Linked DNA regions of Schizosaccharomyces pombe. The protein of the gene in region 1 binds, or shares a complex with, the protein of each later gene. Each region holds a gene or a part of one and is shown on either strand. Other genes may lie near its edges.

What was found.
Region 2: moe1 (region 1) and sum1 share a complex: the UniProt entries of both Schizosaccharomyces pombe proteins name them as parts of the eukaryotic translation initiation factor 3 (eIF-3) complex.

The regions. Positions count from the first base shown.
Region 1 is NC_003424.3:4,549,034-4,555,001, reverse strand, and holds moe1 (translation initiation factor eIF3d), read right to left. Parts: upstream 3,163-5,968; 5' UTR 3,152-3,162; coding exon 1,448-3,151; 3' UTR 1,261-1,447; downstream 1-1,260. Other genes in the region: Fe-sulfur cluster assembly ATPase Nbp35, read right to left, coding at 1-887; gmh5 (alpha-1,2-galactosyltransferase), read right to left, coding at 4,033-5,076. UniProt on the Schizosaccharomyces pombe protein: mRNA cap-binding component of the eukaryotic translation initiation factor 3 (eIF-3) complex, which is involved in protein synthesis of a specialized repertoire of mRNAs and, together with other initiation factors, stimulates binding of mRNA and methionyl-tRNAi to the 40S ribosome.
Region 2 is NC_003424.3:5,356,267-5,361,883, reverse strand, and holds sum1 (translation initiation factor eIF3i), read right to left. Parts: upstream 2,961-5,617; 5' UTR 2,929-2,960; coding exon 2,866-2,928; exon of another isoform or gene 2,811-2,865; coding exon 2,690-2,810; exon of another isoform or gene 2,334-2,689; coding exon 1,531-2,333; 3' UTR 1,380-1,530; downstream 1-1,379. Other genes in the region: met8 (siroheme synthase), read left to right, coding at 347-381, 553-1,312; rer2 (cis-prenyltransferase), read left to right, coding at 3,485-3,691, 3,804-4,063, 4,110-4,326, 4,382-4,492; F-box/WD repeat protein Pop2, read right to left, coding at 4,642-5,617. UniProt on the Schizosaccharomyces pombe protein: Component of the eukaryotic translation initiation factor 3 (eIF-3) complex, which is involved in protein synthesis of a specialized repertoire of mRNAs and, together with other initiation factors, stimulates binding of mRNA and methionyl-tRNAi to the 40S ribosome.

The DNA.
Region 1 (5,968 bases):
GATTCAGGACATTCATCAATAAAGCTTTTTCCAAAATCACATGAACGTGCAATCAATGGGTCCAAAGGAATTTTACCCAAGAATGGTAGTCCCATTTCTTTTGCTAACGCTTCACCTCCTCCTGTAGTAATAGTGAATATATTAGACTTGCCTTTGCAAGAAGGACATACAAAACCGCTCATGTTCTCCACTAATCCAAGGATAGGGATGGACGCCTTTCTGCAAAAATCTATTTCTTTACGGACGTCTTGAAGAGCAACCTCTTGAGGAGTAGTAACTACAACAGCACCATCAATTCCGGAATTTTTAAAAAATTGAACCAAAGATAAATGTTCATCGCTAGTTCCCGGAGGAGTATCAACAATCAAATAGTCTAAATTTTCCCAGTTAACGTCTTTGATGAATTGTTTGATCAGCCCGTTTTTTTTGGGCCCCCTCCATATAACAGATGAATCTTCGCTTGGTAATAAAAATCCAATTGACATAACAGCCAAGTTAGGGCATACATAAATAGGGGACCAGCCTTTGCTTGATTGATGGGCTTCCTCCTTTTCAACACCCATTATTCTCGGAATTGAAGGCCCGCAAATATCCACGTCCATTAACCCGATCTGCTTGTCTTCTTCAAGCGATAACCCCCATGCTAATTGCGAAGAGAATGTGGACTTTCCAACACCTCCTTTACCTGATAAAACAAGAATTTTGTGCTTGATTTCTTTCAAGCGTTCTACAACCAATGGTAAATCTGGATCTTCTCCACGAGGTGCTGAAGCGCAAATTTGTTGATTAGGGCATCCTTCACATGCTGATGCAGTTCCTGCATTTTCAGATGACGGTCCGGGGCAATGCTCTGGTGCATCTAAAGGAACAGTTTCTTGGATTTGCATAGAAAAGCCAATATTAAAGCAAATGCTTAGTAAAAGTCTTTATTTCACGTGCTTAGTGAACTTTTAGTAGCTATTTTTGTAAACCACGTATGGTAAATTATAAGTGTAATCCGGTGTAAATTCTCTTCAAACGAATTTTTGCTAAAAGCTTTACCTCTTGTTTTACCACAATATTCTGACTAAGCTTGAAACCGTTTTACGATCTCTTGGCTAGTGGCAATGAGCTATATCGGTTTTCTACTAATCGAGTTCTAATTTTTTTACCGTAATACCCTAAAGTGTGTTAAAAGCAATGTTCATGAAAAAAATCACGTTGGAAGCATCGAAAATCAGATATTTCCAAATGAATTAAACGGCACTTAATTTTCCTTCGCTTCATTTTTACTATTCCAACAAATACATTACTTTACACTTAGCTTCTAATTTACCGAGAAACAGTTCATAAGATTAAAAAATAAAGAAACCGAAAATATAAAACCGATTTAAAGATCTTAGATTTGCACATGTAATTGAGTATTATACATGTAACCTTTTTAATGAACTTTCTACATCCGTCCTTTTTAAGCAGTAGAAGAAGCTTCAAGGGAGGGTCCAGCAGCTTCTTCAAAAGTGTTGGGTGGAACAGAGTACAAGCGTAAAATAGGTCTGTTGGGATCCTTTACAAGGACATATTTTCCATCAGGCATTTTCAAACAGACATCTGCAATAGTACGAACAATACCCCAACCATTAGACAAACTTAAGTTCATTTGGGAAGCCAAATCAGCAGGCTTATAAGCTACAACACCCAAAATGCCGTGGTGCTGAGCGTCACGGGCATTTGAACGACTGACAAAACCAACCTTCATGCTATCAACACCAGCCAATAAAGCTTCGACAGTCCAACGGGCAAGCTTGCAACTATTGTTCTTCATTTCAGTGGCAAACACAGCACCTCTTTGACTTTCGAGCTTGGAACGCCAATCCACAGAACCAGTAACATTTGTAAATTTGGGATCGTACTCATTAAGAGCCTTGATAGAAATGTATTGAACATCGTTCGCAGGATTTTTAACATAACCGTCAACTTCGGTACGAACCATTAGCTTAACAGGCTTTTCGTCTGTCTCGAGAGAAAGATCAACATCCCGATAGATATAACCGTGAGCAGCCAATGGCTCACTTTCTTCCTTAGAATTATAGAAGGGATTGGGATGAGGTAATTTATATTTCTCTTCTTCGGTTTCACGTAAAGCTTGGACGCAGAAGTTTTGGTTAATGTACGTAGCTTCGACAGAAAGGGCTCCAGGAGAATTAACACCTTCGCGGTTGTCAGCGTCCATGGGAGAATCGTATGCGTTTTCATTGACAGTGAGATAATCAAAAGGTCCGCCTTCACGTTTGTCAAAGAATAGCTTTCCACTTTGGTGAGTAATTACAATATCCCAGGGATACACTGAGCGAGTTGAACACATCAATAAAGACAAAATGGAATCCGTAATGAAAATGTTAGCATCACTATTAAGAGCGAGTTTTTGGATAACGGGGTCTTCAGTAGTGGTAGGGTTGTAATGAACACGGTCCAAGGCTTGTAATGGTTTTTCTGATTTAACATGAATCTTGTCAAAAGATTTGTCATAAGGATAAATATAACCATATGAATCCACAGTAACAGGAGCAGCAGCAGCTAAATTGAGCTTAGATAAATGGCTGAACTCAACCTCGTCAAGAAGCTGCCAGTCGTCACCAACAGTAACACTGGCGTTGCGAAGACGTTGATGTTTATCATAATCCTTCCAACCAAACCGACGACCTCTTGCTCCTCCAGCGCCTGAGGATCTAGAAACCACTGTATCACCTGCACCTCTTCCACCAGAAGAACCGTAGCGACCGCCACGACCACCTCGTTGAACGTTTTGTCCTCTACCGCGAACCTTCAATAAAGTGCCGCCGTTGCGAGCGGAAGTGCGTGTACGATTGACAGAACCACGATCGATCACCGAGAAACTGGATTCGTCCTCCGAATGCTGATAACCAAAAATGGACGACGCGCCATAACCATAAGTTTGATATTGGTCACGGAAACGACCAGCAAATGCTCCTTGACGTCCACGTTGTTCACGTCCATCTTTAGGTTGATCAACAGACCAATCTGCAATTTTTCCAAGACGGTCACCTTTACTAAAAGGAGCATAAGGAATATCACCTCCTATCTGTTCCGTTTCAGGAGGTCCCCATGCTGATTTTACGGGTGCTAACTCAGGCAATTTAAATCCAGTTGCCATTTGGGAGTGGTGAAGTTTTCTTCGAAGTGGACGCCAGTATAGTGTGCAAACGAACTGGGAGACGCTAAAACACCAAAGCCAACAATGGTAATATTTGAAGTTCTAAAGCTTTATTTGTAATACAAAAGTACTTAAATGTAATATATATACTTTTTGGTTCGTGAAAAAGTTAAATGTTATACATTTCCTTTTGCAATCAAGGTGCTATATTTGTAGAAAAACTACATCTATTAACAATTAGTATATGTTACTGTATTTATCAAACTACTTCTTTATTTGTGAACCCACATGCCTATTCAGAAGACGATATGTGGAAATCTCAACCACTCACTACATTATAAAACTATAGTAGGTAGAATTACTTTATCATACTAGCAGGTTATATCAGCACTAAATGTTATTAAATTAAAAAATGGGAGAAATTGATATTGAAATAAAAGATATGTTATGCTATAATTTAAAACTGATTACGACATCAGACTTTGCCTTTATAGTCATTGTCTCAAGGCTTAAATGTTTCTGACAAAAGCATGTTTTAGAAAATTTTAATTTCGTCAACGCTGTCTTTTGAAGAAAGAAAAAAATGAACGCCAAGGTTCTCAGACATTCTCTCTTTTCTGTCATCACATGTCGCATAAAAAATATACACATCTAATCCTATTAAAACAATTGTTTGCGAAGAAATTAATGTATAAAAACGGAAAGCACCAAATATTAAGCAGTGTTAAATGACCGCAAAAGCTGCTAAGTAGCAAAGGAGAGAGTTTAGTGCATCACATGATAAAGGATCGCATTGACAGCCTAGCACACGCAAGGAAAAAGAATGATAAAGTATGAATTTAAAATATTAATAATAATGATGGAAATATGTGAGGTCTCTATTAAAGAAACGGAACTAACTTCCTCCAACCCCGTTTTCTTTGCGCTAATCCCTTATAATGATTTATTTCATCTAGGCAGTCCCTTCCATAATTACAGCCTGCCAAGTTTACCAAGAAGTCTCCTTCTTTTTGGTTATAAAAGAAACGAGGATTTTCACCTTCACCAGCACAAGCACCTGGAGGATATGAATTGAAAAGGCGAAGAGGAACGAATCCCATGCCGCTTCGAAGCCAAGCATTATTCTCGTAGAAGTACTCAATTGCATTTTGCTCATCGTGAGGCCAATCCATGTGCTTTTGCCCATAGACTACTGGATCCCAAAGGAAGTCCATCAATCTGCTAGTCCAATCACTTCGACGAACCAGAAAAGAACCCAAACTGAAACCGTTGCAATCTTGCCCTAAAATAAAGTTGATATCTTCACTATAGTCAACAAATGGAATTTCGTGGAAATTTTTTGGATTGAACTCCATGCTATCAGTAATATTCCTGGTCGCAATATGGTCAAGTCTGTTAATAATAAGCTTTTCAAGAGAATATTGAGGTTCCATGATGAATGTTGTTAAATCGACCCACCAAAACCATTCAGCATGAGGGTATTTCTTCATGGCTTCCATGATATAATCTGCTTTTTCCCAAGATTCACGCCATTCATGAGCATATCGTCTCTTTAAGCCTGTGCTCTTCACAAAGAAATGATATCCGTGCCTTTCAGCGTATTTCTTCTTGTTCTCCGTTGAAATCTTCTCCAGCTCCCATTGTCTGGGACTTTTTACATCTAAAACGCCACCTCCGATGTTATTGACAAATATCATAACAACATTACTCTCTTTGGGACGCGTCAAGAGTGTATGCTTTAAAAAGTAGCCTGAGCAGAGCAACAGTACCACAAAGACGAATAACCTATGTAGATGCGTCTTGGTAAAATACTTCCTTCTAGTATCACCTTCTTTGGAATCAAGTACATTGGAAGTGCCTGGCTTAGGGTAAGGAAAGGATTTAAACTTAGCTAATGCTTCTGACTTCTTTTTGGGGTTCCACATTTTTTAATATAATATAAGACTCGACGTTTACGTTAATTCTTCTTATTAACCTTTAAATTATATATTTTCGAATGATAATATGACTACGGCAATGCCGTTTGAGGTTTCACACAGAACTAGGCTGTTTGGCAAAGGCGAAAGTCGTGAGCAAGTAACGTCCCAGTGTATCAAAGCTGGCATAGCCTTGTCGTCGAGTAAATAGCCAAAGTACGCGATAACGTCGGTAAAGTTAAGTAGATTCTGATTGCATAATTTTATTTATTTGTTTACTCAAAAAGTTTTAGCACTTTTATTCTCGCGTTCATCTACTCAGATATGCTAAATAAATTAGCGATAGAAATTTTCCATAAAATATGTCAGTTGCAAAGACTCTGACAGATTTCTCATGGTTTGACGATGAAGGTATTTAGTTTAGTAAACAAATAATTATCAGCTACCAACTAATTTAACAATTCTGTTTTAGGAAAAGTGTAAACAACCATGAGAAGGAAACTTGGCAGCAACTCGAATTAAGGATTCGGCATGTAAAAAATTAGATATTGTTAAACAATCATTCTAATGTAACAATTGATAAAACATCACTGAAATTCTGTTAAATGAAACAATATTACTAATATTCGATTCAGCATTTAAGACATTTAATTAATCCTCGTTATTTGCCATCATGACAACACCGTGTTTCGTCGTATTTTCATACGCGCTATTATATATCGCTTGCAATGTTTATTCATTCATTCTATATTATAAGTGTTGAAAAATATTTAAATTTATTTATTTTTTAAACCAAAATTAAATTCAACTGGTATATATCGCTCTTGCTTCATTTTTCTTGTTTCATACGTGAGGAATCTATCGGTTTTACATAATTTTTTACGAATTAACGAAGTTCGTT
Region 2 (5,617 bases), 810 kb from region 1:
AGTCTAAGAGCCACTTTCATCTATTACTTTTGTATGGATATTTCTTGTCAATGAAAAAAATATATAAATTTAGCATATTAATTAATCTATGATGTATAGGAATATGCTTAGTTGGTGCTATGAAATAGTTTCAAAAATTTGCACGTCCTCGGGATTTTATTCACAAGGTAGTTTTAATTCACTGGAAAATTTAGGTCTTAAATAAACGAATAGTATACGCGTAATAGGATTCCCAACTATTAACCCGTATAGGGAAGCAGATACTGAATGTCGAATTGTAATTGGCGATACTATAATTCTCAAGTATACAGGAACACCTACACTTGGTTAAGATAAAATTTGAATAATGGCTTCAAAATATCAGTCTGTGCAGCCTGGTGGGTAAGTCAAGCATCTTTATGAAGTTACAAGGCTCTATAAATCATTTTCAGCTTTTTAGTATCTTAACTTTCATCTACACAGAATTGAAAAATTAGCAAAGCATACAAAATGAAAGCTAGCAAAGTTTTTTGATGTATCTCAAGGTAATTTTTAGGCTAATCTAAGCTTTAGATCATTAATTATTGCTTGGCGTGCACAAGGTAAAAAAGTATTAATTGTTGGAGGTGGCGTTGTGGCAGCTGGGCGTATATTGCATGTTTTGAATGCGGATGCCCATGTTATCGTTGTAAGTCCAAAAGCTGGTCTTTGTAAAGAAGTGGCTTGGAGAATACAGGAGAAGCAAGTTGAATGGCGAGACAGGGGATTTCTAGTCGAAGATTTGTCTGACGATGTAAACATGGTACTTACAGCCATAGATGATCCCAGCTTGTCTTCCGAAATTTATAAGTTATGCAAAAGCAAAAAAATCCCGGTCAATGCGGCGGATATTCCACCTGAATGTGATTTCTACTTTGGGTCTGAAATCCGTAACGGCCCTCTACAAATTATGGTTAGCACCAATGGTAAAGGTCCAAAACTTGCCAGTTTAATACGAAAAAAAATCGAAAGTTCAATCAATCCAGCTACTGGTATGGCATTGGAAAAAACTGGCCTTTTACGACAAAAATTACGAGACATTGTTCCCGAACCTGAAAACAGTCGCAAAAGAATGAGATGGATGATTGAGATTTGCGAACTGTGGTCTTTGGAGGAACTTGCCATGCTCGACGAAAATCTCATCAACCGACTTTTGGGATACTTCCCAAAAAAAACACCTAGTTATCGAGAAATAACGACTCCAGCCTACAGCAAGATAGACAACTACATATGGTTTGGAGCAATTATAATTTCTGGGGCTGTTCTCCTCAAACATGTTTCAAAAGCTCGTTAAAAGAAGCGTTTGATAAGTTAGTTGCTTTACGGAATATGACAATTACATTACTTTTCACTTTAAAACATTTGAATTTTGAATGGAATTTATTAAAAAACTCTTGTACTCATAGAAGGTTATTTTTCATATAATGCTCCCTAAACGAAAATGATACATCTTTGGAAAAAAGTTCCGTTGTCCATTACTATACTATCAACAGTTTTTTGAATAAAATTAACCTACAATGTATACTTGAAGTCAAAGTAGTTTTTATCGAAGAAGTGCACCCGAACATAACCATCTTCTCCACCACTAGCATAACCGGTTCCTTTGGGATGGACAGCTATTGTGTTGATAGGACCGAAATGACCCTTAACGCGGCCTAACTCTTCTTCTAAAATCGCATGATAAAAACGTGCTTCAAATTTACCCTGTCTAGCAGCAGTAGTAGTAACATCACGGGCTTCTTGACCACCTCCTAAAATAACGAAGTCTTGGACAGGAGTAAAACTAGAAGTATTAAGAGGCGTATCAGTAAGGTATGTTTTGATGACTTCAAAAGAATCAACATCAATAGCTTTAGCAGTCGTATCCTTGCAAGAAGTGATGAAGTAAGTACGATCAGGATAAAACTGAAGATCAGTAATAGTAGAACCAGAATTATGAACTTGTTTAGATTCAACGAATTCTCCGGTTATAGCATCGTATCTGGAAACGGAGCCATCTTCATGACCAGTAAAGAGAAACTTGCTCAAGTAAGACCATCCAGCGACCGTTGCTTTAGATTCACGAGTAGTAATAACGTAAAGGGGGGTTTCAGCAGCGGCATCGCTTTCCGAAATAGGAACACGGAAAACAGTGACGGTACCAGCATAACCCATACGTTCCTCGGTAACAGCAAGAATACGGGTATCATCTTCGTTGAACTCAACACGTTTGACAGCAGTAGGAAATTCCCACTTGTACAACTGCTTTCCTGTTTTAACATCCCAAAGACGCATGGTATTGTCAGCGGCTCCACTAACCATTAAAGTGCTACTTTCTGTTTCAGTTAGTAACCATTGGAAAAGGAACAGATGATCTAGTTGGATTTGAGGCATCAAGAAGAAGGAAAAGGATTTAAAAGAAGTTTAAATGCTTTCCACGAGGAAGTGAAGTGAGGTAAACGTAGCATTAATATAAGTAAAGGAGATGCACCATGCATATTTAACTTTAAGTACTACGCCAACTCAGAATCGTGGATCACGAGTATAACCATCTGCAATCGGACGACTAATAAAAAAAATACATTTATTAGAGTCATGATATGTTTCATTATTCGTGTTTCCTTATACTTCCATAATCCGTATACCTTTAGATGTCTTAATCCAACATACATCACCACCAATTTTCACGTACTATTAATATCACAAGTCCAAATTGCACCAGTATGACCCTCATATGTACCTAGGCGTTCACCATTGTGTGAAAACCAGACATTAATCACTTTATCCTTGGCACATGAGAATAATAAATCACCCTACACACAAAAATTAGTAAATTTTCCACATATAATGGACGGTTATTAAACCTACATCGTGATTATATTTTATTTGAGTCAAAGGACGCTCATGACCCTGTAAAATGATAGGCCTCATCTTTTGAACAGGAAAGTGCTGGTAGAGGGTTTGAGCGAAAAGTCTTTAGTTGTAATATTTTGATTCTAATTAGCGTAACTTAAGGATGGTATTAAAAATAAGGAGGCTTAACGACACTCTTAAATGAACTGGCTTCATTTCTGAGACACTTGCGTTAGACTAGTTAGACCCAAAGGTCGCACGTCTCACTTTGAAAACAGTATTTTGTGGTTTTGTTTGAATTTTGTCTGTCTTACTTATTTGTACAAAAAATAATATTTCTTTCGTGATTTTTAAAAAAAAATACAAAAGCGTTTGGTCTTAAACTAGCGTCTCTTTGTTCCATTCGTTTACGATTGAAAGTATATTTCCTTAGCTAAAAATCCTTTTCTAGCGTGCTTGGTAATTATACTTATAAAACATATCTAGAACCGGATAACCTGAGTGTTTTATAGAAGCGTCAAAAACATCTAATCGTTTTTTGAAAATAATTGTTTATCAAGATAATTATTTCTCTTTGATATTTAGCGTGCATTTATAAAGGAAAAGAAAAGAATTGACAAAATATCTTGACAATATGGGTAATTTATCAGGCTGGTTTATTCACTGTCCTCCATTACAATGGACACTTGATCAATTAGAAACGATGATGATAAATACAATTAAACGTGGCAAAGTACCACAACACATAGCCTTTGTAATGGATGGCAATCGACGGTGGGCTCGTCAAAGAAGGATGGAAACTATCGAGGGTCATAGCTCAGGTTTTGAAGCTTTAAAATCTGTAAGTTTAAAGAACATTAATAGAAGGTTAAACGTACCGTTTCTCCATGTTTTGCGCATTGGTATCCGTCTACGTTCTGCACAATTTGGTACATTAACTAACCCTGCGTAAGCTATTAAAAGTGTGTCTGAAGTTAGGAGTTAAAGAAGTATCGGCTTTCACATTCTCCATTGAAAATTTTAAGCGATCTAAATATGAAGTTGATATGTTAATGGAGATTGCAAAAAACAGCTTAACGCAAATTACTGCTCATGGTGATTTGGTTGATCAGTATGGGATCCGTATTCGCATTGTTGGCGATCTTAGCAGGTTGCAACCTGACGTTTTAGAAACTGCTCTAAAGGCTGTGGAAATTACAAAACATAACACAAAGTATGTGAAATTTTTCAAATTTTTATTTTGCTAATTGACATCTTAGGGCAACATTAAATGTTTGCTTTCCATACACTTCTCGACATGAAATTGCTACTTCTGTGCAATCAATAGTAAAAATGGCAGAAGATGGTACAATCACTCCAGAAGATATAGATGAAGATATATTTGAAAAAAACCTATTGATAAAAGATAGTCTTCCTTTAGACTTGTTGATTCGCACTAGCGGTGTGGAGCGTCTATCTGATTTTATGTTATGGCAGGTAAGTAAAAATTCTCCTAATTTTCTAGTCAAAGATATTCAACTAATTTTATCAGTGTCACAAAAATACGGAGATAAAATTCATCGATTTCTACTGGCCGGATTTTTCTATCTGGAAGTTTTTCCCAATGTTAATTCAATACCAGTTACAAAACCAACCAGCATAATTTATTCAATCCTTCGTTACTTATTTACTTTTGATAGGCTTTGGCTGTTAATTTTACATTGTATACATTTAATATGTGTTAGTAGCTGATGTAAATAGTTAGACACTACTCTAATTATGTCTTCTTAAATATTGTTAAAATGAAACTTTCTACGGTCTTGATCCGGAAAAATTAATAACTTCCAAATATGCTTGATCATCACGCTGCACTGCAGCCACACAACGCATAGCATCAAAATCGACATGCCATATTTTTGTGAGGTCTGTTAATAGAAAACGTAACAGCTTTCCAGTCCTAACATCCCATAACTTTACAGAACCATCATTACCACTAATAATTTTGTGTTCATCTGACACAAAGCTACTAATGTAGCCTGAATTAGACGGCAAAACCATTAATGGTTTCCCAGTATTCAAATCCCATATTCTAATTGTGGAGTCAGCAGAACCTGATATCAACCTATTCTGGAATACATTAAGAAGCGTAACAAAGGCATCATGGCCTTCAAGCACATATTTACAAGTCCCTGTCGATAAATCCCAAACCCTAATGGACTTATCCATGCTACCGCTTATGCAAATATTCCTTTCTGGTTCATATAAAACACTATATATACGAAGACTATGACCCCGCAGATGGTAAAGACATTCCCCTGTTGAAACTCTCCAAATGCGAATTGAAGAATCATAACTCCCACTCACAAGTATATCACCATAGCCGGATATAGTTCGTACAGAGTCTGTATGTCCTATCAAAGTATGTACAAAATACGGGTTCTTCTCCCAACGGTCAATAGAGTTTGTATTATCTGGAAGATAAGGAGGATCCGTGTTTTTTGGAAGCTTCCAAACCCGAAGTGTATGATCCCGAGAGCCGCTGACAATGTACGGTTGATCTGGTTCAACAATTTCAACTCCATGGCGAATAAGACGACTCGGAACTAAGATCTCTAAGCATCTGATGATGGAAATATGTCCCCTAAATATGTGCGTACATTTAGCTTTCTCTATGTTCCAAACGCGAACAGTTTTATCGATCGAACCAGATACAAGTGTATTCTCATGTATTTTGACAGCCCAAACACCTTCTTTATGACCCTCTAATCGAGCTTCTAAAACACCGGTA